Linked DNA regions of Pelodiscus sinensis. The protein of the gene in region 1 binds, or shares a complex with, the protein of each later gene. Links are inferred from orthologs where the notes say so. Each region holds a gene or a part of one and is shown in the gene's direction. Other genes may lie near its edges.

The links. Proteins that work in one complex are often made in the same cells at the same time.
Region 2: the proteins of MYBL2 (region 1) and LIN9 are in contact, whole or in part, in a crystal structure (PDB 6C48), measured with the Homo sapiens proteins. The link is inferred for Pelodiscus sinensis from reciprocal best matches to the Homo sapiens genes MYBL2 and LIN9. Residues at the interface, in NP_002457.1 of Homo sapiens: Trp663, Ala667, Cys668, Gly669, Gln674, Met677, Gln678, Ala681, Arg682, Leu684, Leu685, Arg687; in NP_001353174.1 of Homo sapiens: Lys356, Gln385, Arg386, Tyr388, Ala389, Thr390, Val392, Leu393, Leu395, Glu396, Asn399, Leu402, Asn403, Leu406.
Region 3: MYBL2 (region 1) and TFDP2 share a complex: the UniProt entries of both Homo sapiens proteins name them as parts of the DREAM complex. The link is inferred for Pelodiscus sinensis from reciprocal best matches to the Homo sapiens genes MYBL2 and TFDP2.
Region 4: MYBL2 (region 1) and LIN54 share a complex: the UniProt entries of both Homo sapiens proteins name them as parts of the DREAM complex. The link is inferred for Pelodiscus sinensis from reciprocal best matches to the Homo sapiens genes MYBL2 and LIN54.

What each region holds. Positions count from the first base shown.
Region 1 is NC_134728.1:29,651,165-29,658,348, reverse strand, and holds the start of MYBL2 (myb-related protein B), read left to right. Parts: upstream 1-4,184; 5' UTR 4,185-4,336; coding exon 4,337-4,383; intron 4,384-6,136; coding exon 6,137-6,322; intron 6,323-7,184. UniProt on the Homo sapiens protein: Transcription factor involved in the regulation of cell survival, proliferation, and differentiation. Transactivates the expression of the CLU gene.
Region 2 is NC_134713.1:157,381,677-157,389,648, reverse strand, and holds the start of LIN9 (protein lin-9 homolog), read left to right. Parts: upstream 1-4,965; 5' UTR 4,966-5,219; coding exon 5,220-5,298; intron 5,299-7,972. UniProt on the Homo sapiens protein: Acts as a tumor suppressor. Inhibits DNA synthesis. Its ability to inhibit oncogenic transformation is mediated through its association with RB1. Plays a role in the expression of genes required for the G1/S transition.
Region 3 is NC_134720.1:21,211,039-21,218,714, reverse strand, and holds the start of TFDP2 (transcription factor Dp-2), read left to right. Parts: upstream 1-4,669; 5' UTR 4,670-4,716; coding exon of another isoform or gene 4,717-4,759; coding exon 4,760-4,867; intron 4,868-7,676. UniProt on the Homo sapiens protein: Can stimulate E2F-dependent transcription.
Region 4 is NC_134715.1:11,686,389-11,694,259, reverse strand, and holds the start of LIN54 (protein lin-54 homolog), read left to right. Parts: upstream 1-4,864; 5' UTR 4,865-4,997; intron 4,998-7,871. Other genes in the region: COPS4 (COP9 signalosome complex subunit 4), read right to left, coding at 965-1,044, 2,008-2,081. UniProt on the Homo sapiens protein: Component of the DREAM complex, a multiprotein complex that can both act as a transcription activator or repressor depending on the context. In G0 phase, the complex binds to more than 800 promoters and is required for repression of E2F target genes.

The sequences.
Region 1 (7,184 bases):
ACAAAAGCCTGGTCTGCTGGGGGGGCGGGGCACACTAGCCGCACCCCCCCCCCCGCCAGCAGACCAGGGACACCGGGAGCAGAGCCGCAGCGGCAGCGGGGTGCCGCGCCTCTGAGGCTTTGCTCTGGCAAAGTCTCAGAGGCGCGGGACCCCCCGCGGCTGCGGCTTCAGTCCCAGTGCCTGTGGTCTGCTGGGGACGGTCCCCAGCAGACCACAGGCACAGGGACTGAAGCGGCAGCAGCGGCGGTTCCCCACGCTTCTGAGACTTTGCCAGAGCAAAGCCTCAGAGGCGCGGCACCCTGCCCGGTGCCCCTGGTCTGCTGGAGATGGTCTCCAGCAGACCATGGGCACCAGAGCAGCTTACGAACGGGGCTTTTTCGCCCCGGAGCTCGCAGGTAGCAATCCGCTACCTCGACCTCCGGGGCGAGAAAGCCCCGTTCGTAAGTGCAGATCCGACGTAAGTCGGATCCGCGTAAGTCGGGGACTGCCTGTACTTAGCTATTCAGTCCCCAGCCTGTAACAATGCTTGAGAGTCTTCCGTCCCAAGTGCAGGACTCTATACTTGTACTTGCTGAACCTCATCAGATTTCTTGTGGCCCAATCCTCCAATTTGTCTAAGTCACTCTGGTCTCTATCTCTGCCCTCAAGCGTATCTACCTCTCCCCCTAGCTTAGGGTCATCTGCACACTTGCTGAGGGTGCAATCCATCCCCTCATCCAGGTCATTAGTTAAGATGTTGAACAAAACTGGTCCCAGAACTGAACCCTAGGGCCCTCCGCTAGAAAGCAACTGCCATCCTGACACCGAGCTGTTGATCACTCCCTGCCAGGCCTGGTTTTCTAGCCAGCTTTCTATCCATCTTACCGTCCATTTATCCAATCCACATTTCCTTAACTTGCTGACAAGAATATTGTGGGAGACCATATCAAAAGCCTTGATACAGTCAAGGTTTATCACATCCACTGACTTTCCCATGTCCACCGAGCCAGTTATCTCATCATAGAAGCTAATCAGATTGGTCAGGCATGACTTGCCCTTTGTGAATCCATGCTGACTATTCCTAATCACTTTCCTCTCTTCCAAGTGCCTCAAAATGGATTCCTTAAGGATCCCTTTCATGACTTTTCCAAGAACTGCGGTAAGATTGACCAACCTCTAGTTCCAGGATCGTCCTCCTTCCCTTTTTTTTGAAGATGGGCACTACATTTGCCTTTTTCCAATCATCCGGGATCTCTCCGGATCTCCATGACTTTTCGAAAATAATGGCCAAAGGCTCCTCAATGACATTTGCCAACTCCCTCAGTATCCTCGGATACATTAAGTGCGGACCCATGGATTTATGTACGTTTAGCTTTTCTAAATAGTTCCTAACCTGTTCTTTCCCCACTTAGGGCTGTCCTCCTTCGTCCCATATTGCATCACTTAGCACATTAGGCTGGGAGCAGACCTTGTCCGTGAATACAGAGGCAAAGAAAGCATTGAGTACTTCAGCTTTCCCCGCATCATCTGTTACTAGGTTACCTCCTTCATCCAGTAGGGTCCCACGCCCTCTCTGATCACCTTCTTCTTGTTAACATGCCTGTAGAAACCTTTCTTGTTATCCTTCACATCCTTTGCCAGTTGCAATTCCAATTTTGCTTTCGCCTTCCTGATAACCCTCTGGCACATTCCTAAATTGCAAATAGGGATGTAAAATCTTGATTAAATCAGTTAACTGACTAAGGGATTCCTAACATTTAACTGGTTAACTGATTAAGCAGGATTCCAAGTGGGGTAGTGCTCCAGCCTGGATGGAGCAGCCCCCAGTCTATGGGGCTCCCATTCCCCACCCCATGTAGAGCTGGATGCTCCAAGGGAACCGGTTAACTGTTACTTAAGGAATGGGTTACTCATTCACATTTGCACAAGAAAAGGTGACTAAAAACTGCCCCAACATAACTCCTACATGAAAAAAGGCTTCAGGTGCTTTAGAAACAAAGAGGAACATCTTCTCTTAAAGGCCAGGTCTTGGAGGCATGAGATCCAAGATCTGTTCTTCGCTGTGATTTAGCAAAATTAAGAGAAGTGACTTGCCAAGCTTGTAAAATAGAGATTTTAAGTGGGACCTGAAACCTTTTCCTGGCTCTATATCCCTGAACTAGATAGTTATTTCCTCCCACCCCCCTCTAGGACATGGGGGTAATGGTGCTTCACTTCTCCAACATGACGTCTTCATGTAGTCTGTGAAAAAATTACAATCTGTATGTGTTATTACCTTGAATCACAGAGATTCCACAACACAGATATCAGACAGGATCACAAAGAAAAAACAATTTCTTGCCATTTCAACCAGAAAGGACACTGTCTCAACGACTTAACTACCTGCATTCTACTACAAAGACCTTTTACATCTGCACTTGAAAGGGAATCCTCTGAACTGTCATTCATGCTAAAATTCGACACTCTCCCGGGGGGGGGGGGGGGGATTGAACAAAGACCCCAACTACCTTACCCATTACAAAGATAGCTTCCCCAATTGTCACCTCTAATACCATTAGCTCACAGACACTTACCTTCCTTCTCCCCCTCCCCCCTGCATCCCCCTTCTGTTCTGAAATGTGATTTGTCCTTTTCATATGTGTTCATTTTTTTTTAATTGTATCCTTTGGTATATATGGTTGTGACTATTTTCTTCCACTATTTGATCTGAGGAAGTGGGTCTGGCCCACAAAAGCTCATCACCTAATAAACCATCTTGTTAGTCTTTAAAGTGCTACATAGTCCTGTATTTTGCTTCAGAGATTCCACAAGTACCCGTAGCAGCCTAACTGCCCTTCTAGGCTAGCAAAAAGCGTTACCGATAGCTAACCTAGAGCATCTTGCTGCGCATTAAGCCTGTTCTTACTTCTGCCTTGAGTGGACACGAGGCGTGTCTAGCATGGGGACCCCTCTGCAATACAGGCAGTCCCCGGGTTACATGGATCCGACCTACATCGGATCCCTACTTACAAACGGGGTGAGGCAACCCCGCACTAGCTGCTTCCTCCCAGCAAACCAGGGAGACGCGAAGCTAGTGCCACCCCTCCCCAGCAGACCAGGGAGACGCGGAGCTAGCGCCCCTCCCCCCCAGCAGACCAGGGAGACGCGGAGCTAGCGCCCCTCCCCCCCAGCAGACCAGGGAGACGCGAAGCTAGCGCCCCCCCCCCAGCAGACAAGGGAGACGCGGAGCTAGCACCCCCCCCCAGCAGACCAGGGAGACGCGGAGCTAGCGCCCCCCCCCCAGCAGACCAGGGAGACGCGGAGCTAGCGCCCCCCCCCAGCAGACCAGGGAGACGCGGAGCTAGCGCCCCCCCCCCCCCAGCAGACCAGGGAGACGCGAAGCTAGCGCCCCCCCCCCCCCCAGCAGACCAGGGAGACGCGAAGCTAGCGCCCCCCCCCCCAGCAGACCAGGGAGACGCGAAGCTAGCGCCCCCCCCCCAGCAGACCAGGGAGACGCGAAGCTAGCGCCCCCCCAGCAGACCAGGGAGACGCGGAGCTAGCGCCCCCCCCCCCAGCAGACCAGGGAGACGCGGAGCTAGCGCCCCCCCCCAGCAGACCAGGGAGACGCGGAGCTAGCGCCCCCCCCCCAGCAGACCAGGGAGACGCGGAGCTAGCGCCCCCCCCCCAGCAGACCAGGGAGACGCGGAGCTAGCGCCCCCCCCCAGCAGACCAGGGAGACGCGGAGCTAGCGCCCCCCCCCAGCAGACCAGGGAGACGCGGAGCTAGCGCCCCCCCCCCAGCAGACCAGGGAGACGCGGAGCTAGCGCCCCCCCCCCCAGCAGACCAGGGAGACGCGGAGCTAGCGCCCCCCCCCCAGCAGACCAGGGAGACGCGGAGCTAGCGCCCCCCCCCAGCAGACCAGGGAGACGCGGAGCGGCTTTTCTCAGCAGACACCTCAGCTTGAGAATAAAGGACTGAGGGAAGTGAGGTGTGGGAGAATAAAACTGAGCGCTGGAGAAATGTTTGGCTAGCGTTTCCCCTACAACATGTACAGTTCCGACTTGCATACAAATTCAACTTAAGAACAACCCCCCAGTCCCTATCTTGTATGTAACCCGGGGACTACCTGTACTACAATCAGGAGGATTAGCGGGGCCAGTGACATCCGCGGGTCCGCTCGGCTCTCCCCTCTTTTGTCCTCGCCAGGCTCCCGTACCCACCGGCTGTTTTCCTTCCTGCCTGAAGAGGGATCCTCAGCCCCGCCGCCGGGCTGGCTCCCCGGGCGCCATGTCCCTCCCGTGTCCCGCTCTGGGCGCGCCGCGGCGGAGCGCGCCGCCCGGCCTAGGCGGAGCGCGGCCTGCAGGATGCTGAGCGGGGCATGGCGGCGGGCCTGCCGCGCCCCGCCGCCCGGGGGCCGTTGCTGAGGTAACCGCACGTGTTCGCCCCCCCCCTCCCGGCGAGGCTCCCCGGGGCCGCCGCGTCTCCCGGGGAGGGGCCGAGCGGGCCTGACTCAGCCCGGGGGGTTAAGTAACTTCTCCCCTCCCCGGCCACTCGGCGAGCCGGGCCCTGCTCCCCCCCAGGCGGGCTGCTCCCGGCCGGCGCGGGCGGACACGGGACAAGGGGGGTTCCCTCTGCTCTCGCCCACCCACCTGCCGCCGCGCCTGCTCGCCCGGGCCCGAGCGCTGCTGAGCCTGCGCCCAGCAGGCGATTGGCAGCAGCTCCCTTCGCGGGGAGGGGGAGAGGCTGGTCTCGGTCCCGGACCCGAGCGCCCCCCTCTAAGTGGGGAGGGGCTCCCGGAGGGAAAGGCGCTTGTGAGCAGCCCTCTTGCTTCTTTGTGCGCCCCCCCCCCCCCCCAGGGACCAGTCCCGTGGGGGGATGCTCACTCAGGGGCGTGACCCGCGATGAAGCGGGGCAGAGATGCCGGGATGAGACTGTGAATGGCTCTTCCCGCAGAAAAACCTTAAGTTCTGCCTTAAAGTCAACCCCGGAGAAATCGCTCCAGCACGACAGAAGTGGTAGGGCAGCTTGTGGGGTACCGCTGTCACTTAGTGCTACAGAGCAGTCAGCGGGAGAGGGGACTTCCTCCCCAAACGCAGCCATGAGACTGCCAGCCCGGCCCCACCCCGCAGGAGATATTTGAACTCAGGAGCCAGAAGGGTTTCACATATTGGGATAGAAAACTCTTACTTGCTCCCCACAGTCTAACTTCCACATTCAGAATGGTGAAGTTATTCCCTCTCCTGACTCTGATCAGCATAACCCTGGTTCCAGGCCAGGTGTTTGCAGGTTGTGCATTTAGATCTGCCCTTTCAGTGGCCAGAGAGCACTTTACTTCCTGTCCTAATGGGGGATGGTAATGATATTAGCTAGCCACAGCCTAGAGCTAACAGACAGCAGCTGGTAGCTTTTGGGGTCTCAGTTGCAATTAATTGAGACGTATGTTTTTCCCTTCATAGGGGAAAAACATGACTTCACCAGTCTATTAACTGGGTTAGAGTAGTTTTAGACTACCCCCCCTATTGTCTGTAAGTTAGGGGCTTTGAAGAGTTATTAATTTATCTGAGAAGATTGACATCAGTGGTGGTGTAACAGATTGAAGAATGTGGAAGTTAGTTTAACATGTAGGCCAAATCCAAAAGGTACATAAAGCCCAGTTTTGATACTACAGTAACCAGAAATTTCCTGGTTACTGTAGTAGGTACCTAAACACAGAGCACTAGGGCTGTAAAATCCCAGTCAACCACGATCACAGTCACTCACCTCTGCTGAGCTAAGTCCCTCCTTCTCCCCCTCCCCCATGGGGGGGGAGAGAAGGAAGTGGTGGTGGAAGCAGGAGGCAGAAGCCAAGCCCAGCATGAAGAATGGTGCTGGCTCCTGCTCCCGCAAGCACCCCCCATGGTAGAGTGGGGAGGGGGGGTAAGATGGGCTGCTCCCAGGCATGGGTTAACCATTCTCATCTCTACTCAGCACCTACATACAAGTTAACTAAACCTTTGAGCAGATGAAAGCCACTGACCTAAAGGAATGTGGCAGTGCAATCTTACTAGACTTTTGCACCCCCTTCAGGAATCTGATGTATTGGTACACTCAAGTCTCAGCTCATTTAAACTACTTGCTTACAAAAGGAAAAAAAGTCCCAGAACACTTACTGAAAAGTTGCTTATTTTCTCATTTTTAGCCATGTAATTCTAAATCTACTAGAAGATTTACCTGGTGTTGCTCAGGTCCTTGACTCCATTTTTATTTTTCCTTCATTTAAATCATTGCCCTGGAATGGGGCTGGGCTGAGAGGTCCAGGATGCAGGCTGCTTTGGGGAAGAGAAGACAACCCCAGCCCTCCCTCACTGCAGCAGCTTGGGACCAGGTGAGAAGTGCCTGACCATGACCACTGCAGTGGGCACAGCCAGGGGAGGCGCGCATGTCCTCTGGCTAGAGGACAGACACAGACTCTGAAATATATAGTAGATAGCTATCTACCTCTGCCACCTTCTGGCTCAATGGGGTTAAAGCTATCCTGGTCCCTATCTCTGACCTCTCTCTGCCGTCATTCTGCAGTATAACTGGCCTTCCTACCCGAGTTCTCCCTTTCTATTCTATGAGAAAGTCCAGGCACATCCCATTATCCTAGCACAATGAAACCCCAAACCAGGTGATAAGACGAAGCTGCATACCAAACTTGGTGGTCTTAGCTCTTTCCATTTGTTCAAGAACTTCTCTTAATGGTCTCAGATTTCTAAAATATCTAGTAAGATAGGAGTACAGTATATATGTTCCAATTTCAGTGCACAGTATATAGAGAAGTATAGATTAGGCATTGTATGAAGTTTTAGTGTGTACTGGCTTCACTAGTGTTTTTATGTAGCCTGTAGTAAAACTAGCCAACTATCTAGATGACTTGATGTACACCCCACTCCCCCAGTAGACCTCTACATACACCAAGGGGTACACATACCTCTGTGAGCCACAGCTCTAGCCAGCTGCCTGCTTCCCTATCAAAACCCCCAGAACAATTCGTGAACCGATGGGGGAGGGCAAAAGCAAGCATTTGGTCACTTAAAATTGCATGCAGGATGGATCAAGTCCCATTCAAAGTAAATTGACCTCCGTCGGGAGGGAGGGAGGGGGAAGACACACACACACACACACACACACACACACACACACACACACACACACACACACACACACACACACACACACACACACACACACACACACACACACAC
Region 2 (7,972 bases), on another chromosome or scaffold:
ATTTGATGGGATGTATTGTGTCGCTACCATAATAAACAGTGTAACTATAATGATCAGATGTTCTCTACTGATTATATATTTGATGCAAAAACTATACAAACAATGCATTTAAGGTAACCATCTCCATTTGAATCTCCCTGCTGCAATTACTTATTCATACTATGCAATGTGCATCTCTTGTGTTGATACACCTCAGTCACTCTGAAAAATAACAGGAAGAAAGGCTGTAAAATAATTCCCTTTTTAGAGAAGCAGTATTGTTTCTGAATTGCTGGATGGAGACTGGATGCTCGTGTTGCCTAGTCTGCTCAATTAAACTGCTTTTGAGCACAAAGTTTGTTGAAAGAACCTCTCCTAAAATCTCCTCCCCAAAACACTGATTGCACTGGGTTTCTTACAGAAGAATTCTTCATAATTCATAATTTCAGTTATTTAAGTTTCCCATATAAAGGATCCAAATGTGTGAAATTAGGCAAACAGATGGTATGAATCTACCTTTCTTTGTGTGATGTATCCCATGAGGATTATGGGCATGTGGCTAGAACCAGATGTTTTCAAAGTAGTATTACTCATATTGCACACATGCACCTTTGTACTGCATTGTGGTTTTGGCAATAATGGGCGGAGAGGACTGGCCATGTCTCCAATACCTGTTCACCACCATGTGGTCCTAGCCAAAGCTGCTTCCGCCCCTGGGAATGCATTTTCCAAACTCATAGGAAAAACTACTTTTGTTCATAGCTAGCATTTTATTGTTTTTTCAGTAATTTTCTAGTTCCCAGAAGTTTTATAGGATTTAGGACTTGAAAAGTGCCAAAGAGCCAAGATTCCCTAATCAAACAATTCACATGTCGTGTGTCATTCCCCCCGGGAACTGGTTTATGCTGATGACACTGGGATTCAGAGCCTGCATTTCTTACCCTCGCTCATTTCCCATTAGCAACAAGCACCAACACTGTTTGAGGGCAGCCCAGACCATGTCTCCTCTGACCAAACATGGGAAGGCCAAGCTCTCTGCCTCAACAAACACCTCATGGGGGTTGCCATTGTGCCATGTCACAATAGAATCCTGACTGGAGACCTCTCCCCTTACCACAGAGTCTCTGTCCAGCTCTACTGACCCCACACTGGGGCCCATCCATGAGCCATGGAAGCACTGTGCATAAACAGGGCAGTAAGTCTTCCTCCAAATCCAAGAAACCATGTGTTCCAGCCATGGACGAAGAGCATATTCCAAGGCTCAAAAGAGCAACAAGAGGTTACACCATTCATGTAACCAAGTTACCCTTCTGATTCAGCTTCACCAGCATCCTATAAATCATTGGTTTGGAGCTTTAACACTTTTCTGGTTCCAGTCCTGGCAATAGACTGGGTATCACCGACTCCTGGAAGACTTGGAAGTGTTCCCAGACCTCTCAAACTGTTTACCTTGGAATAAGTGAGCTTGTGTGACCACCTGCTCAGAGGTCCCCATCTCCTGCATTAGATCTACCATCTACTGGTAGTGCACTCTGTTCCCACAGCTCTGTCAGCATCACTGTGTAGCGCCCAGTTCTGCTGAGTCTGAGAATTCAGATACGATGTAATCCGCTACTTCCAGTTTGGAGACATTACTACAGAGCTTTCCAGTTTCTTTAGTACTTGTACTACAGCAGCAAGAGCAACCAAGTTGGCCATATTAGAGCTTATAGCTTCACTAATTGCCTTTGAAATGGTCTTAGAACGGGAAGACTGTTTTATCACTTCATTCTTCATCCAGTCTACCCTTGGCACCTGGATCAGACAATGCATGCACCAGTGTGGTGCCAAGGGGCCTCAGGAACTTCCCGTTAGGGTACCTAGATGTGGCTGTTTCTTTAACATTGCCCGTCCCACCAGATGACTATCATCAGTTTCAAGAGCAAGTGAGAAGGATAGCTAAAGCTCTTCAGAACCCCCCAAGAAAAGGTGGGACCAGGTCCTAGACTTACACACATCAATACCAGCATGCAGAGTCAATGCAGAGGTGTATAGTAGTCCCGCGAGCAGTGGTTCTTAAAGTGCAGTCCGTGGACTGTTAGGGGTCTGCTGCCATCTCCCGGGTAGTCTGCGGCTTGAGCACAGCCTCCCCATCCCCACCCAGCAGGGTGCCCACATTGTGGCTCAAATCTTGTGGTTACTGTGCAGCTGCAGGCTGAAGCATGAACTCCGGCTTCCCACTGGGACAATGCAAGGGCATGAAGGAGGTGCAGGCATTGCATGGCGTAGGGGTCAGAGTAGCCTGGCAAGTGGAGTGGGCGACATGACCTTGTGCTGAGCTCTGTGTCCCTGGGGCTGCCCCTGCCCAGCCTAGGCTGCACCAAGCTGCTCCCCATGAGGTGTGTGCGGGGGTGGGGAACCCCTCCTCCAGTGCCCTGCTCTGCCTGGCTGGGCTGGAGCCAGCCCCAGGCTCTGCCCACCCCACCCCACCCCTGGAGTGGCAGCCTACAGGTGAGAGGCAAGCTCTGGACAAAGGGCTGGGCCAGGCAGGGAAGTGACTCCGTTCCCCCCTCCCCCAGCCCTCCTTGCCCCACTGCTGCTCCTGGGGGGCTGCAAGTCCCAGTGCTGCTACCCTGCTGTTGTGTGTGCTGGGGGCACAGGGATGTGGGGCCAGGATGGGGTGAAGGAGGATGTAGGGGAAGGTTCAGAGGAGGCAGGGGTTGCACGGGGGGGGGGGGGTGATGCAGGGGATCAGGCTGGGTGGGGATCAAGGAGCTGAGGGGGGTGAGGCTAGAGCAGAGGGAAGACGTGGGGGGGATATAATTTCCCTTTACAGAAACTGCACTTTCCTTTGCTCTCCACTTTGCCTCCCTCTTCCCCTTCCATCACAGCATGATCTTTGCACCTTATTCTGTGTGAATGAGAATTTCAGCCTATTTGCAGGCATTGCTGGAAAACTGGCAGGTCTGTACATTGTTCAATAATATTTTATAGCACCCCTTGGCATTAGATCTGGGACATTTGCTCCCCTTCAGGTCTCCAGCAGACTATCTTCTTTTAATGCCAGTGCATATTTCTGCTGGCAGCTCAGACCTTCATTCGTTATTTCCACCAGGGCTCTGAGCTGTGTCTGTCTGGGGCTCATTGCTTTTCCAGCCCGTTTTAACCCCTCAGTTACTGGCAACACTTCATTGGGATTGCCAGAAAACAAGTCAAACTGAGGGGCCATGTCTAGACTGGCAAGCTGCTTTTGTGGAAAAACTTGCCAGCTGTCTACACTGGCCGCTTGAATTTCCGCAAGAACACTGACTATCTCATGTAAGATTGTCAGTGTTCTTGTGGAAATACTATGCTGCGCCCGTTCGGGCAAAAGCCCTCTTGTGCAAATGCTTTTGCGCAAGAGGGCCAGTGTAGACAACGCGGTATTGTTTTGTGCAAAAAAGTCCTGATCGCGAAAATGGCGATTGGGGCTTTCTTGCGCAAAACCGCATCTAGATTGGCACGGACTCTTTTCCGTAAAAAGTGCATTTGCGGAAAAGCATTTGCGGAAAATAATGCCAGTCTAGACGTAGCCAGGGAGATCTCTCCCCTCCATGATATTGAATACTCGTTGGCTTAGGATTTTTAAGATAAATAGCCACTTCAGCATCTACATATAAAAGTGAATCAATGTTCTTCTTTTACTTAGTTTCAGAGTCTTATAATTGCCATAAGAACCACAAATCTCCATCATAACCCAGAAAGACACCAGTGTTCATTTCCCTTCCGTATATGGGAGCACACTTAAGCAGCCACAAAGGTTTTGTTGAGCAGCTAGTTGGCTGCATTCTCACCCTCACCTTTTCTGCATAACTTCCCCACCGATCTCCAAACTCTCTCTCTCGAGCCCCCACATTCTCCTGCTGCCGAACTCCCTTCCGCACCCTGTCCTCCTCACCTCCTCATGCCTAGATCCTGCATCCCTATCCCACTCACTGGCAGCCCTCATTTTTGTCACCACCCCAGCGCCTAAGAGGGTCCACAAAATCCACTAATTCTGGAACCCCAGAAAAGTAAACCTGGTCTATGGGAAATCCTAAACCTTAGTCCTCATTGTCCCCTTCACTCTTTGGGGTTGGAGTCCAGAAGAATGAGGTGTCTCATTTGGGGGGTCACATCAGTGAGGGTTGGGGTTTTGGAGTTTTTTTGCTTCTCCTGTGTGGTCCCTTAACTGATTTTTCTATGGGTCAGTGGCCCCTAACCCAAAAAAGGTTCCCCACCGCTACCATAAATAAAATATGGGAACCTCTTGTGTTGGACATAAATTAATGTTACTTTATGTAAAATGAAGCTTGATAAACTAACATGAGAAAGTTAAAATGCTTAATCTGTTTAATAATTTAAACAACTGTTCTCCCTAGTTGCAGCACTACGAAAATGGCTTGGGTGTAATTATGTAATTAACAGTGAGTTTCCATTAGCAACTGGTGATCTATGAAAAGGTTTGCAGTAAGCCAGGTGGTCCATCGCCAAAAAGTTTAAGACCCACTGCCTTAGGGGCTCCTTTATGGCTACTCTCACTTTCTGACAATTAAATGTTTCTTTTTGACCTTGCCAGATCCTTTCCAGTATTCTATGAAATCGATGCAGTTGCGCCTGAAGTGCTGCATCGCGGAGCAGGACACTTGAGGGTATTATTGAGCAAACCACCAACAATTGCGTGTTTTGCATCAGTGGGCAGCCTCACGGCAACGGCTCCCTCAGCCAAGGGGAGGCGGCCAGGCTGGGGGGGGGGGGAGGAGTTGGGAGAGGAGGTAGAATTCCTTGTTTACAAAGCTAGAGCACAAGTAGGATGGTCAGCACAGTGGCTCCTTTGCGGGAACAGTATGAAAACCGGCTCCTGCTCCCAGGTAGCCTCCCTCTACAGCAAACGGCGCGCGGGGGTGAGGCACAGACCCCAGCAAATTGCGAAGCGAGGGAGAAGGACGGTGCATGCAAATACCGCGGGCTGAGAGGAGCCCTGCAGTTGCGGTGGCGCGCTCAGGCTGAGACCGCTGCTCGCTGCCGGGAAGCAGGAGCCCCCCGGGGCTGCCGTAGCTGTCTCCGCTGCTCCTCGAGCCCCTCCCAGCCCTTTTGTGTCCCCGCGCGCCGCCTCCGCCGCTGCTGCATCCCGGCCAGCAGCACGAGCGCTCCTCGCAGCGTTCGAGCAGCCCGGGCGGCGGCAGCAGCGCGAGCCGGGTTCGCCAGCGCCGCCTCGCGCACGGCCCAGACCCCTCCCCACAATGCACCGCGCCAGGCAGCCTTTGAAAAAGCGGCGCGGCTCGTTCAAGATGGCGGAGCTGGATCAGCTGCCCGACGAGAGTGAGTAGCGCCCCGCGCCCCCGGCCGGCGCCCCCTGCCCGCGGCGCCCCGCAGCGTCGGGGACCAGCTCGTCCCCCGCCGGGCTGCCTTCCCCGCGTCCGGCCTGGCCGCGGCGGGCGCTGCGCGGGGCCGGACCCGAGTCTCCTCCTCTTCCTCTGGAGCCGCCCCCCCCCACGTCCCGCCACCCCCTACCCCGCGCAGGCGGAGGGGCCGCCCCGGAGCCGGGCCCGGAGACCCGCGGGTTCCCCACGGCGGGTGGCGCCGGGAGGGGACTTGCACCCCGAGTTCGGCGCAGCCTGACAGGCCGGGGCCACGGCCGCACCCGGGCCAGGGACGGGCCCGCACTCGGGCCAGGGCGCTGCCTGTCAACAGAGATAGGGAGGCGCCGTACAGCTGCGAGCACCGATCCTGCCCCGGCGCATGGGGGTGCGCTGCACTGCGGGTGGGCCCTCAAACATTGCAGCGCAGGGGAAAGCGGGCACAGGGAGTGCCCTGCATAGGACGTGCCATTAATACAGGGGGGAGAGGTACAGGTTAGTGCTGTGCCCTGTCCATGAGGAGGAACTAATGCTCTGGGGGAGAGGGTTACACAGGGTAGTGCCCTGCGCCCCGAGCAGGCTTACGGGTGGGACATAACATGCATACTGTGCTGGGGGGTGGAGAACACTAAAATGCTCCAGGGAATTTCGGGGGTGGACACACAAACATACTCTAAATGCTGTCTGACAGAGGCACCAGAGAAATGGAGGTCATTGAGACATGCAAATTGCATCCAGGGGCATCCAAGAATGAGGATACACATGCTACTCGGGAACAGACACTGGATCTAGGGGATAGATGCAAACTAAACACAATAAAGGTGCTATGAAGACCCACAGTCTATATACAAAGACACAAGCATGCACTGTATGCAGACACATAAATGAACGTACAAGAAGGTTGATACCCAGCAAGTCTGACTGAGTAGATCATGTGTATGGGAGGTAATGTCACTTAGATAATATATTTTATTGTACTAACTTGTGTTGGAAAGAAGAGCTCTGTTACTGTGCAGAAGACTGCCATGTTAGCTCAAAATCTTGTGTTTCAAATCAATGAAAATGAACGGTATTACCTTCCTCTTCCCATCCTGTCTCTCTATATCCTGGGCCCAATGTGGTTACAGCACTGCTGCAGATACATACTGTGGCCAAACAAAACTACAGATACAGAAAAATAGATTCATTCATTCATTGCATTACTCTTTCGTAGGAGTAATGCAAGCTATATAGACATGCATACCATACATAAATGTACAAATTAACACTAACGCAGCAAGGCACAGAAAAAAATGATAGGGCTAATTTAAAATACACAATAGTTTATTCCAGCTAAAACATATTAAGTCTCTACAAAGTTTATCCATTAAAAAGGAGCATATGATAGAGCACATGAAGTATAAAATTTAAACTGAGGGCTATGTGAGAATTTGAAATGCAAATCAAATATATAAACAAGAAATTCTTTATATCAGAAGCAGAAAGCAGTTGGGCTGTGTCTACATTGGCATGATTTTGCTGCACAAAAACATGCTGCCTGTCTACACTGACGAGGAGTTCTTATGCAAGAACACTGATGTTCTAATGTAAGAAATCAGTGCTTCTTGTGCAAGAACTATGACGCTCCCACTCAGGAATAAGCCCTCTTGCACAAGTGTTCTTGCGCAAGAGGCCAGTGTAGACAGGCAACATGAATTTCTTGCACAAGGAAGCCCAATTGCTAAAATGGCCATCGGAGTTTTCTTGCGCAAGAGAGCGTCTACACTGGCATGGATGCTTTTGCACAAAAGCACATCTCTTGCGCAAAAGCACATGCCAATGTAGACGCTCTCTTGCGCAAATACTTTAACGGAAAAACTTTCATTAAAAGTATTTGTGCAAAATCTTGCCAATGTAGACGTAGTCTGGGAGAATAGCAATGGCAAAGAAGCATTGGGCAACAAGCTAGCTGATTGTCACAAGTACAAGGAATGTACATTCAAAATAACCATTTGAACTAATGGATTCTAAATGAACTGTAACAATAACAAGGAAAAACCTAAATGGTTTCATTTAGAACAGCCTGATAAACTGCTTGATGCTCAACTAAATAAGCAAAAACTTAGATTGGATTACAAAGGTAGAGCAATGATTTTCAGTCTTTCCCTTACTGGGGTCTTTTGTTACAACAGAAAAAGTATGGGACCCTCCTCCCTTTAAGCCAGAAGAAAAGATGGATGTTCGTGACCTTCAGATTGAGAACCCATGGGATAGAAAACAATATAAAAATATTAGGCAACTGTAAAAATATATAATCTCACCTTTAATATGCTGTTCAAAGTCTAGTTCCCCTATCTGAAAAGATACATCTTATGAAGGTTACTATAGGCAGTCAGGAATGGAACACACACCTCCAACTTGGCAAACTTAAGTCATTATCTGCTACACCACATACCTTCCTGATTGACTTTTCCAACTTTGCTTATCCTATTTCTAACTAATATAAATCACACTCCTCTGCCATTTGGTAATTACTCCAGTATCTGAAATATTAAAGTTCTGAGCTGAGGATCACAAGGTCAAGGCATTTGAATGCTGCTGCTCACCTTTGTAAGGATGGCATTAGGGATGTAAGCAACTAATCGACTATCTGATAT
Region 3 (7,676 bases), on another chromosome or scaffold:
ATGGGGCAGCTGCCTGTGTTCCAGGCTGTGATTACAATCCCATGCAGTATCTTTGGGAGCCATTATATTAAATGTATTAATGTTTATGTATGAATGTGTTTTACTTGATTGGAGAAGGTTACTAACTATTCCAGGAACTTTACAACCTCCAGGGTAGTCATCCCCTCAGACCTAATTCCAACAGAAAACCACTCCACCCCGCCCCCCTAGTATTTGCACATATCAATTCAAACTAGGTTTTCCAGAGACTCAAAGAAGGGGGTACAAAGCTGAGCTTGAACTGACACTGAGCTTGAACTGACACAGAGCTTTTGTTTTGATTAAGCAAACGGACAGAGCTTCCTGTCCAGGGGGGTTCCCAACCCTTGCAAAAGGATTGGAATGACTTTGGCTTACTTGGGCCTAAAAGACTGATGGTGCCACTATTATGGTGCCACTGGTGTTAAACTAGGAATGTGCATGACTTATCTGATGGTCAACAAACAAGTTGACTAGTTGCTTCCCCCCCATCCCTGCTGCCTCTATTAGAAAGAGGCTGCCGGGGGGGGGGGGAGGGAAGGGAGGAGAGGGCAGGGGGTACTTCAAAGCAGCAGCAGTGCATGGAACCTGGGGCCAGACATTGGGCTCCATACAGCACTGCTGCTTTGAAACATTGCGTGCAGCCCGGGGCCAGATGGGGTGTTCCCAGGCTGCATGCAGCATTTCAAAGAAGCAGCACCACATGAAGCCTGGGATCAGCTGGGGATTCCAGGCTCCACGCTGCGCTGCTGCTTTGAAATGCCGCGAGGAACCTGATGCCGGGCTCCCTGAGGCATTTCTAAGCAGTAGCAGCACATGGAGCCCAGGGTCACCGGGGAGTCCCTTGCTGACTTCAGACTCCATGCAGCTCTGCAACTTTGAAACACCTTTGAACTTTCGCCTTTGAAATGTAACAACAGCCCTAGGGTGGAGGCATCCTATCAATTAATCAAATAGTAAATTGCATCGACTAGTCAGTTACTTGATCAATTGCATCAATTAGTTACTTGAAATTTAACATCCCTATGTAAAACCTAAACAAAGAATGAGTGGTCTGGACTCAGGCCCACCGGTAGCTACACAACTGCTCTTCCAGACATTTTTAATCTGCCTAAAAATTAAGGTAATTTTTTTAGCAATAATGAAGCGATACTATGAGTTTGGCAGTCAAAAATAGAAAAACAATGAAGGCGAAGGTAAAAGATGTAGCTAAGGAAAAAGACAGTTTTGTTATCTTATTTAAAAAATCTTGAAGTACTGAATGAAGGACATTCATTAAAAAGTAAGGGTGAGAAAACATCTCAATTATCTGATCACTTGCTGAGTTGTGAGGATATCATGACATAAGAACGTAAGAATGGCCATACTGGGTCAGACCAAAGGTCCATCCAGCCCAGTATCCTGTCTGCCGACAGTGGCCAATGCCAGCTGTCCCAGAGGGAGTGAATGGAACAGGTAATGATCAAGCGATCTCTCTCCTGCCATCCATCTCCATCCTCTGACAAACAGGGACACCATTCCTTACCCATACTGGCTAATAGCCGTTTATGGACTTTATCTCCATAAATTTATCTATTTCTCTTTTAAACCCTGTTATAGTCCTAGCCTTCACAACCTCCTCAGGCAAGGAGTTCCACAGATTGACAATGAACTGTGTGAAGAAGAACTTCCTTTTATTCGTTTTAAATCTGCTGCCCATTAGTTTCATGGTGGCCCCTTGTTCTTATATGTTGACAACTGCAAAAGTTGAACAAGTGGATTGGAACTACAAAATACTGGTAATTTTGTCGAAGTAAGGGAAGAAACCTACCCTGAAGATATTGCATTATGGCCAAAATCTATTTCATTAGATAGACTTGTTGTTGCCACAGTAAAGCTTGTGTCATCTTTGGGACTACCTCTGAGAGGACATGATGCATCATTGAAAAGGTAATTTTTTAACCTGTCTTGAATATCTTAATGAGTTTAACAATTTTCTCACTGAATATTTGAAAATTATCAGTATTGTGGCTCAGGGAAAACCAACTTTTTAACACACCAAATCTACAATGTGTTCATTATTATAATGGTAGAGCAGTTCAGAAACCAATTCACTGATGAAGTAAAGGCTGCCAAATATTATTCAATAATAGTCAACTGAACACCAGATGTGAGTCATGTACACCAATTAACATTAATTTTAATATACGTGACTGGCAATGGTGAAGTTATAGAGCGATTTCTTTGGTTTTTTGTTGGACTAAAATCCCACACTTCTGAATGTTTAGAGACAATGGTTTTGGAAATCATTGCAAATTTAGGTTTGAACATCAAAAATAGTTGTGGACAGAGCTTTGATAATGCCGCAAATATGTCAGGAAAATATTCAGGTCTACAGGCAAGAATGAACAATGAAAATCCCTCTGCTTTATTCATATCATGTTCCCAGGCAGTCCTTAAATTTAATATGCAATGCTGCAGCCGCTTATTATGAAGGTGCTACACATTTTTTTTTTTTACTTCAAAACACCTATGCTTTTTTTTGTTTGTTTTTGTTTCCACAGATCAGTGGAATACGCTATAATCACACTTGGAGCAGGCAAATGGAAAACACTTTACAGTAAAAAGAATTTTTGACACCAGGTGGTTTGCTTGTGCAGATGTTGTTTTGGCTTTCAAAATGAGCTATGATGTTATAAAGAAAACTTTATTAGACATAGCCACATCAAGTTCTGAAAAACCATGTGTGAAAACTGAAGCAAACTCCTTAGCAGAAAAGTTTGAAAAGAATGATACTGTTGTTTGATGAAGAATTGATGAAGTCAGCAAATCACTGCAAAAAGTTTATACACATTTATTGAATGCTGCACAATGGTTAGCCTCAGATACAAATTTTGTCATGGAAGTTCGAAATGACTATAGGTCTGTGGAAGCAGAGGCACTAACATTAACAGAAAATATAGGTTCCTTTGATATATCTGATGAAAAGCATAAAAAAGTAGGAAGTTATCTTCAATGAAACTAGAAACAATGAAATCAATTTAAAAGGCAACGAGAAGATCATCATTGAGATCATCAGTATTATTTGTAACACAGTAGTAGTGCAATTACAGAGTAGAGATGAATCTCTAAAGAAAACTGTTAATTTAATTTGCATGGTTTTTTTCTGACAGAAGTCTAGATGAAGATGCTAAAAGCCACTACAGTAAGAAATTAAGTGAATTCTACTGAGAGAACATAGACAAAAATCTTTTTGCAGGTGAAGTGAAACATTTCTTTCATTTTATCAAAAATTATGAGATCTGTGCTTCAGAATCACCAGTTGATTTGTATAGCCTTTTACAGGATGGTTTGCAGGCAACCTTTACAGATGTACAAACCATTCTGAAAATATTTTTAATAATACTTGTCACAAATGCTTCTGGTGCACATCCTTTTTCTGTATTGAGTTAAAAATTATTTGTGAAATACGATGAGTCAGGAACATTTGACAAGTTAAGCAATGTTGACAATTGAAAATGTCTCTCTACAAAATATTACTTAACATGATTTAATTGACAATTTTACAAAGAAAAAGTGTGGAAAGAAAGCTATCTGAATATTTTTTTTTTAAACAGAGTAAGTTTCTTCAGAGGAAGTTAACTTTTATTTTTCCATTCATGCGTCATCCATATACTTTATTTTTACATATTTTTCATGTTAGGTTAATGCAAACACAAGCTTTCATTAGACCAGAAGTTCTCAAAACTGTGCTCTGAGAACTCCATTCAAGTGGACTGAAGAAAGGTTATTATGTTTTGTTTTATAAAGCGCTCTTATCCAAAGTACTTTACAATAGTCATCTAATGGTACAGACAATATGTGGAAAGATCATTAAAAAATAATCACTTTATTTTCATTTACTTATTAATTATAATACAGGAGGAGGATCAAGAAAAAAGAATGAAAAATGGGAGGACACAAAGAGTTAATGTTCTTTTTCGTGGCTCAAAATGAAGTTAAGCACAGGGCCCCACTAACTCTAAATCCGCCACTGCTTGGTAGTCTCATTTGTATAAAATATTTAGATTATTGCAATTTGAGCCTCTTAGCACATGTTAAAATATGAATGACCGCAGTCACAAACTAATATTACAATGTCCTTATGAACTACTTAATGAACTAGTCAACTCCCAGCCATTCTGCCTTCCACGGTTTCATGCAGGGCTGGATTGGGTTACTTTGGTGGTTTGACCTCTGTATGCCCAAGTACTTCCACTTCAGCCAGAGCGACGTGATGGGGCTGAGCCTGGGGGACACACCTGCCGAGGGTGTGGATATTGTACGATGGGGGTCCCACAGTTGCGGTCCTTCCGGCCATGCCCGGGCCTCACGGGAGATCGTGTCTCCGCTCCTCCCCCGAGAGGGGTGTGAGCGGCGAGGGAGAGGCGGTTAGTCTGGGGCTCCCCGTGCTGGCGGAGTCACTCCCCCCCCCCCGTGTGTGTGTGTGTGACCGAGCGGGGAGCCCCGCCGGAGAGTTACTCCTTTGTGTGCAGGGGGAGGCAGCCGGGCCAGGGCTCACCCCGCCCAACAGGACCAGGGCTGACGCCGCCGAGAGGCCAAATCCCGCCCCCGGGGTGCGGGCCAGCACCGCCTCGGGCCGCTCGAGGCTCGCTCTGCGCCCTGCCCCCTGCCCCTCGGGGATTGGCGGGCGGGTTGTGTACACACAAGGCCGCGCCAATGGGCGGCTGGCGGCGCCGGCCCTCACGCGGCGGGGCGGCCAATGGGAGAACGCACTTGTCAGACGCCGCCAAGCTTGTGCGGGGGAGAGAGGGAGCCGGGCTCGGTGCGGCTGTGGAGGGAGCCGGCGAGTGGGCCGGGCTGGAGCACGGTGAGTGGGGCTGGCCGGGACTCTGCGCGTTAGCGGGGCACCCTCTCGGGCGGCAGCGCAGAGCCGAGCCGGCCGGGGGCGCCTCCGGGGGCCGGCTCCCTGCTAGAGCAGCTGGCGAGGGAGGAGCCGTCGCCGGGCTCCTTGTCTCGGCTCCGGTGCTGGCCAGGCCCATCCCGCTCGGGGCCTGCGGACGCACGGGGCGGAAGAGCGCGCTCAGCTGCTGCTCAGCCTGGCTGCGCTGTCCCCTCCCCCACCGCGCGCACCGAGGGGCTAACGGCCGTTGTGCGCTTCTCCCTGGGGGCCTGCCCGGCGCCCTGACCCGGGGCCGCTGCCCTGGGCATTCGTCTCCCCGCCCAGAGCCCCGGGTGCTTGGCACCTGGGAGCCGCTGTCCCCGTTCGCCGCCGTAGCGAGGTGGCACAATGTGCCTGGCACGCAGGCCTGTGCCGGGAGCTGGGCTGTGCCGTGTGACAGCCGCCCGGCCTGGCGCTTCTCGCCTCTGCGTGACACCCAGCTGGAGGTCACGGAAGTGTCTGCCCGCGCCTTGTAGTTGGTATCTCCGCCCGTCTCCTCTCACCCGTCTCTTTCCCGGGGAGAAGGGAGTTTCTGGGTAGGGGTGAGAGGATTCAGGAGTCTGCTGTATTTGGTCCCGTGTGTAGCCGTCTGCTGCTTAATTCACTTGGTAGTTAGGCTGTGTCCTAGCTGGCAATGTAGTGTTCTGTCAGTTTCAATGAAGAAGCATATCCTTAAACAACGAAGTTCTGATGTGCAGCACAAAGTTAAGATGTTTTGCACTATAAATGTATGCGATGCTTTGAAAAATATTTGGGGGGCACTTGAAACTGCTTTCTTTTTCTCTGAGCAAGAGACTTTAAAAGGTGTGAAATGTGAAATATGAGACTCTTTCTGCTCCCACTTGAGGTCAATAAGGGAAGGCCAATAAATCTTCTAAAGGTATAAGAGAGGTGGAGGTAGACTTCACGTTTCAGAATGCAAACTTTAGTCAATAATCCAGAAATAGTGCTGGAAAAACAAAATGTAGAATTAGCAAACCATATACACAAAAGGGTTGGAAAGGTATCTTTGCTGAAGTTCATTGAAATTTCAGTTGGTCTGTTTTACTTGTGAGATGGGGGTGGGAGATCATGTTAAACAGTATGTGGGGAAAACTTGCATGGTTTCTTGCTGTGGTTATTTGTTCTATAAAAAGACAAATCCAGAGTTTAAATCCTATCTGGCACCTCTTACAAATGTTAAACCAATTTAATAGAAGACTGTATAGAAATAGAGAGAGAGAGAGAGAGAGAGAAGCATTGACTACTGGGAAGTCTTAAGTGTGTTGGAACTGTATTTTAAAATACCTCAACTTCTGAATAGAAACTGAAGAAAAACATTGTCAGTAAATGTCTGGGTCATATATCATCTGTCTTTTCTCTCAAAGAAATGTTGTTATGGTACAGTGGTTTATGTATTCGTTTGATGTAGGGCTTGATAAAAATATGTTTGTATGCTAGAATATACTTATATGTTTTTAAGTGAATAAATCAAGTTAATCCTCTTACTTCAGACTATGCCCACAAATCCACTTGATCATATAATAATATATTAATATTTTATATTGAAAGCATGTCAGTTCTATGGGAATGGAAGTTCCTGATGCATTATTGATTATATTATGATACAAATTAGAAAGTATTTTACAGTTCAGCTATTTATGTTTATAAACAAAGGTACCTACAACTTCAGAACTATTTAGAATATTGTATGTACAGCAGAAGTGCCCTAAAAGTACAAGTGTTTGGGGAAACAACAGGTGCCTAATTGTGGCCCCCACCTCCTCATGCTATCTCTTTCTCCCCAAACCCTGCTCACTTTTCTTCTCCTTTTGCCTGGTTGCTAGTAAGAAGTAGAGATGTTAAAATGCATGTAATGAAGTAACCGCGTAACTAGTGGTTACACACAGGATGGCAGTTGGCTCATCGGTTAACTGTTTACATGGTTAAACATGTTCATTGGTTAACCGTTTACATCAGTGTTTCTTAAACTATGTGCCACAGCACACCAGTGTACCGTGGAGAACAGAATTCAAAATGGCCACCCTTAAAGGGGCAGGCGACCTTTTTTTGGGGGGGGGTTCAATAACTTCCCCTGATGTATTCTCTCCCCTTCCCCCACCTTTTTTCCCCTCTCTCAACAAAAAATCCTTGGTGTTCCTCATTTAAAAAAAAAAATTGTTTGGTGTTCCTTGGTCTTAAAAAGTTTAAGAAACACACGTTTACATGGTTACACTTTCACACCCCTAGTAAGAAGTGGCCAAAAAAAAGTGAGAGGGGCATGGCTCCTCATCTGGTGCTCCTGGTGCAGTGTGTTGAGGAAGTTTGATAAGAGTTGGGAAAGGAAGAGAGAAATTAGGTAATAGGAAAGAAAAATGACATGATAGGTATCTACAAGAAAGAAAGTACTGAAATCTCTCCTCTTCCCAAGTCAGCTTCTCTTGTTTAACAGGAAGTATTATCTCTAGAGGAGACCTAGGAGTAATAGGTCAGGTTATTTAGGCCTACCCTAAAGCAAGAAGAAAAACTGGGAAATAATTCTTAAGTGACTCCTATTTTGTTATTAGTGGGCACTGTTTTGTAATGAGAAATTTCTGAGATAAATCTTATATTTTTCTTTGTAAACCCTTATGGTTCTTTTATAACCACTTCCTGTGTGTTGAAAAATCATTGTACTATAAAGAATGAAAAGGAACGGTTTGATGCAAGTTAGCTTTCAGTGGACAGTTAACGACTTCATATAGCTACATAAATTAAT
Region 4 (7,871 bases), on another chromosome or scaffold:
TTTTGTACTCAGCATTGCAAGGTTGATGGAAATTCTATTGACTACTCAATTAGCTGGTAATCAAAATTTAACATCGCTATATAGGACTCAACCCAAGGTTTAAAGAATCTGAAGCACCTTCTAAAATCTGACAGGTATGAGGTAAGGAGCATTCTTTCAGAAGTCTTAAAAGAGTAACACTGATATGGAAACTACAGAACCTGAACCACCAAAAAAGAAAATCCATCCTTTTGCTGGTGGTGAAAATGATGATGAAAATGAACATATGTCGGTCTGCTCTGGTTTGGAATGTTATCGAGCAGAACTCATCATCAACATGAACACATGTCCTCTGGAATGGTGGTTGAAGCATGAAGGGACAGAAGAAACTTTGCAGTGTAATTCAACAGTGCATGTGAACAATTGTTCTCATTTTTCAGGTAACACTGTCTGAGCAACTGGCTGAACAGCAGGACTGAATGGACTTGTAAAACACTAAAGCCTACATTGTTTTATTTCTGAATGCAGTTTTTTATATCTAATTCTACTTTTGTAAATTCAACTTTTATGATAAAGAGAATGCTCTATACTACTTATATTAGGTGAATTGAAAAATATTATTTCTTTTAATTTTAGGGTGCAATATTTGTAATAAAATATAAAGAGAGTACTGTTCACTTTGTATTCTATATTATAATTGAAATAAATATATTTGTAGATGTAGAAAATATCTAAAATATTTAAATAAATGATAGACTATTATTGTTTAGCAACAAAATTATTGGCAATTAATTTGTTTAATTGCTTGGTTACTCTAATTTTAACATACTGATGATTGGTGCTCCAAGCAGATGCAGATGCAAGATTGAATATGGACAGCACATCAAAAATTCACATAGCCTGAACTATATTTATCTGCATGTGTAATCCAACATGCATCAAGTCTTCAGTCAACAATGCATAAACACAACAAATACATACTTACTTGCTTCTACAAAAGCTTTCAAGGCTTCTAGTTGTTCCACTCCTGACAGTTGAATTGCTTTTTCCAGTATCTGACGATATCTGCCCATAGATTTAAAATTAAAAAATGTATCACAATTAATATCCTTTTATTTAAATATCCCCCGTGGCATTTGCATTTACATGGCTGCAGCTTTTTTCCGGCTCTGGGTTTTTGCCGGAGAAAAGCGCCAGTGTAGACGCTTGAAAGTAGGAATAAGGGATCTTCCGGAAAAGGGCTTATTTTCCGGAGAATCGCGTCTACAGTGGCGCTTTTCTCCGGCAAAAACCCCGAGCCGGAAAAAAGCGGCAGCCATGTAAATGCAAATGCCGCGGGGGATATTTAAATCCCCCGGGGATATTTAAATCCCCCGTGGATTTGCAATTCCCAAGTGTCTCATTAGCATCCCTTTTCTGGAAAGGGGTGCCAATGTAGACACAGCCTATATGTTTGGTGGTGTTTTTTAGGGCTTTTCCCAAGAGACCCTGCTGCATAATACCAACGGCGCAGAAAATACGTGATTTTTTAAAAGGAATTTAAAGCTCGGACGCCTCTCTCCGTACAATTGCTCTGGCTCTAGAAAAAGACACAATGGGCATCAGATGGGTTCTTTTGTCTTTCAAGCCCAAGGCTCTGGGAACACCGACTGTTCTGAAACGGACAGTTCAGCACCAGCCTGCAGCATCTACAGCCCCTTGGTTAAATTAAATGGAGAGGGGGGGGGGGTCTGGTTAATCCCCCCGCCCCGAGGCAGCGGGGGAGGGGGGGGGCGGGGTAGGTAGGTGCAGTCGACAGCATTGACCAATAATAAGCGCAGGTTTTTCCGTTAATCCGTTTTATCCGTTAATCGTCTGCCATTCACGAAGTGACAAGACAGACCCGGGCGCCTCCGCCCTGCCAGGCACAGGGGCCGCGGCTCGCGGAGGAAGCAGGACCCTGCAACCCCCGACTAGTCCTCAAGCACCCGCCAACCGCCTTCACCTCAGCCGGGAGCGCCCCCTCCCCCCAGCCCGGCCCGCACTCACTTCCCCGCCAGGTCCTTGTGGGAGCCGCTGGAATTCATGAGCTGGGCCAGCTCCTGCCTCACCGCGGCCGCCATCTTGTCTCGCGCAAACTGACAGACGCGGTCCTCCCCCTGCCAACGAGAGGGAAGCCGCCGCCGCCGCGTCCCCGCTGTATCATAGAGGAGCGTCGGCTAGAAAGGCTCCTGCCCCTGAGAAAAGGGTCACGTGACGCCTTCCCAGCCCGGAGTCCTTCCCTCCTCGCGAGCGCTGCTGGCCAGTTGCTGCCTCCCTGGGATGCGGAAGGGCTGATCCGCCAGCGGGTTGACGTACTGACCCGGCCCCACACGAAAGCAGACTCTGTACCTGGGAGGGGACCCTCAGTCCCTTCCTCCCTCTAAGGCCAGGAGAGGCGCTCTGAGCTATTTCTCCGGAAGGTGTCATTCCCAGTATTGCCCGCCTGGCTGGTGCAGATGGCAGGTCTGGAAATGCAGGATCTCATGCCCCAGTGAGAGGGATGGATGATAAGTTCTTTCCTTCCCATGCGGTCTCTCGGGTCAGAGAAGGAAGCAGGGCCAGAGCCTGATGAGTGGAATATTTTGTAGCTCTGTTTCTTTCCGAACTGTGTTGCTTGTCGGCTGTGTTTCAGTGGTGTACACAGCATGGCTGTCGTACATACGTTATCAGAAGATTTCAGACATTACAGTATTTATTTTCCTTTTCTAATCTGTGTATAGCGTTTTATCTAAAAGTAGATGAATAATTATACTGTTCCTATTTTACCAGTGTATAACTGAGGTCCGGATATGTAAACTAAAATTTTCAAATATAGCACCTACATACAAGAGTGCTGCTTTTCATAAGTGGAGAGGTGGACTCAGCTCATATTTCAAAAGGAGTGTTCTATTTACTTAAATGTCAGGCAGCTATCTTCAGGATTGTGCTTCAGCTGGAACCATGGAAAGAGACTGAGATCAATTTTTTTTTTTATTTTTTTGTACACTGACATTTGAGTTGCAAACACTGCAGATAAATGTTTTAATGGAGAGAAAACCAATAATTAAGAGGTGAGGAAAATTCCCTTGGTTTGTTCATACCCTACAAATAAGTGGAGGATACCTATGGTACAGAAGCTAAACAGAATGAATACATTTCCCTTGCAAGAGGGTGTATGCTCAAGGTAAAAGCAATGCCATATGTTGCACTTCCATATCACCTTTCATGAAAGGTTTGCCCAGTGCTTAGGAAGCTGTCACTTGTTAGCCCATTTTATAGATGTAACAAGACTGGAACCACTCACTGCCTGTTTTTCAGTGTCTTGACTTAAGGGCTACGTCTAGACTGGCATGATTTTCCAGAAATGCTTTTAACGGAAAAGTTTTCCGTTAAAAGCATTTTCGGAACAGAGCGTCTAGATTGCCACGGACACTTTTCTGCAAAAGCACTTTTTGCGGAAAAGCATCCGTGCCAATCCAGACGCGCTTTTCCGCAAAAAAGCCCCGATCGCCATTTTCGCGATCGGGGCTTTTTTGCCGAAAACAAATCTGAGCCGTCTACACCAGCCCTTTTGCACAAAAGATTTGCGCAAAAGGACTTTTGCCCGAAAGGGAGCAGCATAGTATTTCGACAAAAACACTGACAATCTTACATGAGATCAGTGGTTTTGCGGAAATTCAAGTGGCCAGTGTAGACAGCTGGCAAGTTTTTCCAGAAAAGCGGCTGATTTTCCGGAAAAACTGGCCAGTCTAGACACAGCCAAGCAGCTTCAGAGGGATAGCTGAGTTAGTCTGTAACAGGAAAAAATTTAAAAACAATAAATAGTCTAGTAGCATCTTAAAGACTAACAAAACATGTAGATGGTATCATGAGCTTCCTGTGACAAAACCCACTTCTTCAGATATATTCCAGTCATATGAAGAAGTGGGTTTTGCCCATGAAAGCTCATATCACCCTCTATTGGTGCGTCTAGACTGGCAAGATTTTGCATAAAAGCATCCACTTTTGCACAAAAACTTGCCAGCTGTCTACACGCTGCTTGAATTTGCGCAAGAGCACTGACTTTGTAATGTACAAAATCAGTGCTTCTCGCGCAAATACTTTCATGCTCCTGCTCAGGAAAAAGCCCTGCGCAAGAATACTTGCTCAAGAGGGCCAGTGCAGACAGGGAATAATTGTTTTACGCAAAAAAGCCCCAGTAGCTAAAATGGCGATCGGGGCTTTCTTGTGCAAAATCACGTCTAGACTGGCCACAGATGCTTTTGCGCAATAACACTTTTTGCGCAAAAGCATCCGTGCCAATCTAGATGCGCTTTTGCTGAAATACTTTTAACAGAAAAACTTTTCCTTTAAAAGTATTTCTGCAAAATCATGCCAGTCTAGATGCAACCTACATGTTTTGTTAGTCTTTAAGGTGCTTCTAGTTTTAAGTTTTGACTTAAACAGTTTCTATCTATGGGGCAGTATAGCAGAGTGCACGCATCCAGTGCCCAGAAGGGTGCTACAAGTAGAGGAGGCTGGAATGCTTACCCAATGCATCACTATCGCCAGGCCTCTCTCAGCTGTTCCCCAACCATTTCAGATCAGTGGGAGACGCAGGCTGCACACGCAGCACCATACACACGCACACCCGGGCTCCTCCTTAAGGCTCCACCTACCCCTGCTTCTCCTCTCACCTTGCGCACTTGCCAGCCCTTGCGTGCCTGTGCAGCGGCACGTGACATGGTCACGAGCCAACGGGATGCGATGACGCACCCGGAAACGGCTGGAAGGAAGCGCCGGCCCCAAAGGGCGGGAGAGGGAGGAGCTGCGCTCGCTTGGTGACGCTATGTCGGTTGCCAAGGCGGCGCTGCGCATTATTATGGGATGTGGCGGTGGAATGGCGCTGGGCGCGTGATTTTGAACAAACACGGAACCTGTCCCTGGTGCTGCCGCTGCTGAGAGCGGCGCGCGAGCCCAGGGGGAGGAGGAGGGGGCAGCCGCGGCGCGAGCCCGGGGGAGGGGGGAGCGCGAGCCCGGTGAGTGTGAGCGCGGGGGGCCCAGCGGGGTGGGGGGAAGGGAGGGAGCAGGAAGGGGTGTCAGGGGGGAGCCCAGCGCGTCGCCGTGCAGCCCCCCCCCATCCCTGGGGGCCACCCGCTCCCTGGCTGCGGGGACAGGCCGGGGAGGGGGACCCCGGCTGCAGCGCCAGGAGTCGGTCCCCGCTGCCGCCGCCTGGGCGCAGCTCCCGGGGCGGGCGGCGCAGGCCCGGCCAGCCCACGGCGCAGCCCTGCGCGGCCGCTCCTGGCGCTGCGCCCCTCGGGCACCGGGGATCCGGCCGGTGCAGCCCCGGCCTGAGCTGTCTGCGCGGCTGCCTTGGCAATGCAGGCGCCGGGGCCGTGCCCCGCCAGCGGGTGGGCCTTTGTGGCTTGTGCCCCGGTGTGTGGGTGTATTGACTGTTTGTCCCTTTGTCACTGCCAGTCCATAGTAGCCAGGGAAACAGCCGACCCTGCGCGTGAAAAATAAAATCATTGGTTATGTGTGACTGTTCTGACGAATGGGTTGGCATTTTAAAGTCATTTGTGTAATATATTGAATAGTAAGGAGGAGCTTTCTTTATGTGGCTTTAACCCTAGAAAATGTTAAGGAATTCAAGATCTCAAGAGCTGAGACTCACTGCGACATGCTCTTTTTCAGCAAAGATCAAAAGGAGAGAAAAGCAGGGCTTACAGTTTGGGCCCTCATTCTAGCAATCTCTTGGGGGAAAAAAATCAAAATAAACGTGCCTAGTATTTTCGCTTCCCCTGCCTGCCTCATTATATAAATAAGGATGTTTAGATATAGGGCAGTATATAGAGTGTGATGAATCATTACAAAAGTTCATCTTGATGTGCATCTCTGCAGTACAAAATGGCATGCCACATGTCGAAATTGTCAGCTTTATTATGGTAGTGTTTTGCAAAATTGAGAATAGTAGAACTAATATCAATGCTATATTGGAAGATGAATCTAGTGTTTTTTTGTTTTTTTTAAAGATACAGCTACAATTAGGTCAAATTTATAACTGAAAATCACATAGGTAAATGCAGTGGGCTCATGTGTGACTTGTATACCTGATGAATCCTCCCACATATCTAAAGAAGAGAGGAGGTTCTCTGACTCTGTTGAAGTTCTGAGGATATTTCTTTTCCTTTGTAAGCTGCCTCTTTGTTTGGTGTTTGGGGGGAGAAGGGTGTCCCATTTTTGAGGTATGACAGCTTCTAAGTCAGGGATGGGGAACCTCAGATCCACAGCTTGCCCGAATCCAACCCCAAGGCTCAGACCCCCCCTTGCATGAGGGATCTTGTGCTGGCGCTCTAGCTCCAGCTCCCTGCCCCATGGTGGGGCAGCACACAAAATATATTAGGCTGGGCCCCCCAGGCGTGGAGAATGTGTGGAGTGTCTTTCTCTTAGTCTGAGGGTTTTTTGTGTGTGGCCCTCAACTGATTTTTTCTGTGGGTCAGTGGCCCTCAACCCAAAAAAGGTTCCCTACCCCTGTCCTAAGTATTGAGAGCATTTTTGTTTTGTGTGAGTTGTAACTTTTTTTAAGGAGTTCAGGGCCAAATGTTTGACTTTTGGCCGTCTCCCCTCCATGTCCCCAAAAAGAAAATACAGGCCAACTGAAATCAGATGCAACAGTACCAGTGTCACCTCATTTGCACTGTCTCATTGGGATGTAAAAGTTTTAACTGGTTAAACTTAGCCTTACCAGCATGCTTACCTGGTAACCAGTTAAACCATGGTGGGTCCAGCTGGCTGGAGCAGCCCTGTGGTACAGTAGGCCAGCAGGCAAGAAGCCAGGCTAGAGATGCCAGCAGCTCTGCACAATTCCCCCACCCCCTCCATGACTGACAATTTAACCAATTAAAATTACATAATGTAGCACTGGTTAACTTTTTAATTGGGTATTTACATCCCTAATGTCTAAGTGATCACCATTTGTTGGTTGGGAAGGAATTTTCCTCTGAGTCAGATTTCCAGTGACCTTACGGTTTTTTACTTTGTGCTTGCAATATGAGGTGCAGGCCATTTCTCCCAATTATCAGAGTATATCTCATTTAATCAGTTCCCTGCCATTGCAGTTGCCTTAAACATTGGTGCCACACCTCAAGTCCCTATTATTCTGAGACCTTTTACAAAGTTAAGTCAAAATACAGCAACCTTGATATTTACTGTGGTGAATCATGTCTATGGTTCTGTTGGTGGTCAGCTGAAACCCCCATCCCTAGGACTGAGCGCCACCAGGCAATGTAAATAATGCAGTGTCTACACAGGACTGTTGCCCTGAATGCATCAATGCAAGCTCTATGCCTCCTGGAGTAATGGGTGACATGCATCGTCAGGAGCAACGTTGGAGTGTAGACACTTACAAAGTGAGATCTATGTAAGCTGCTTTATGCTGACTAACTCTGTAGTTCAGACCAACCTTCTAGTTTCCTATAGGCTGTAATATTTTGGTCTAATTTAGTTTGCTTGGTTTTGTGTGTGGGTGTCCTGTGATATACAGGAGGTCAGACAAAGTGATCTGGTAGTTCCCTCTGGGCTTAAACTCTAACTTTGAAGGATCTTGTATGTTGATGACTAATTGTTTGAAGAATCTTTATGTGAGATCCTAGAATTCTTGGCTGGAGAGTAATTTATTTTTTTGTTTTTATTTTCATACTTTTGTGCTTTAACTAACAAATATTTTAATACAGCAAATATTTATGTTTTTCTTAAGATTGCTGTTTTCTGATACATTTTACAAAATGGCCATGTGACTGTTTTAGAAGTGTTGAATGGAAAAAACGTAGTGCAGTAGCCTAGTGTCAGAATGGTCAGTGTCTTGTTACTTCGATACAATCATCTAGAATTTCACTTTTGGGTTGGTATCTTAT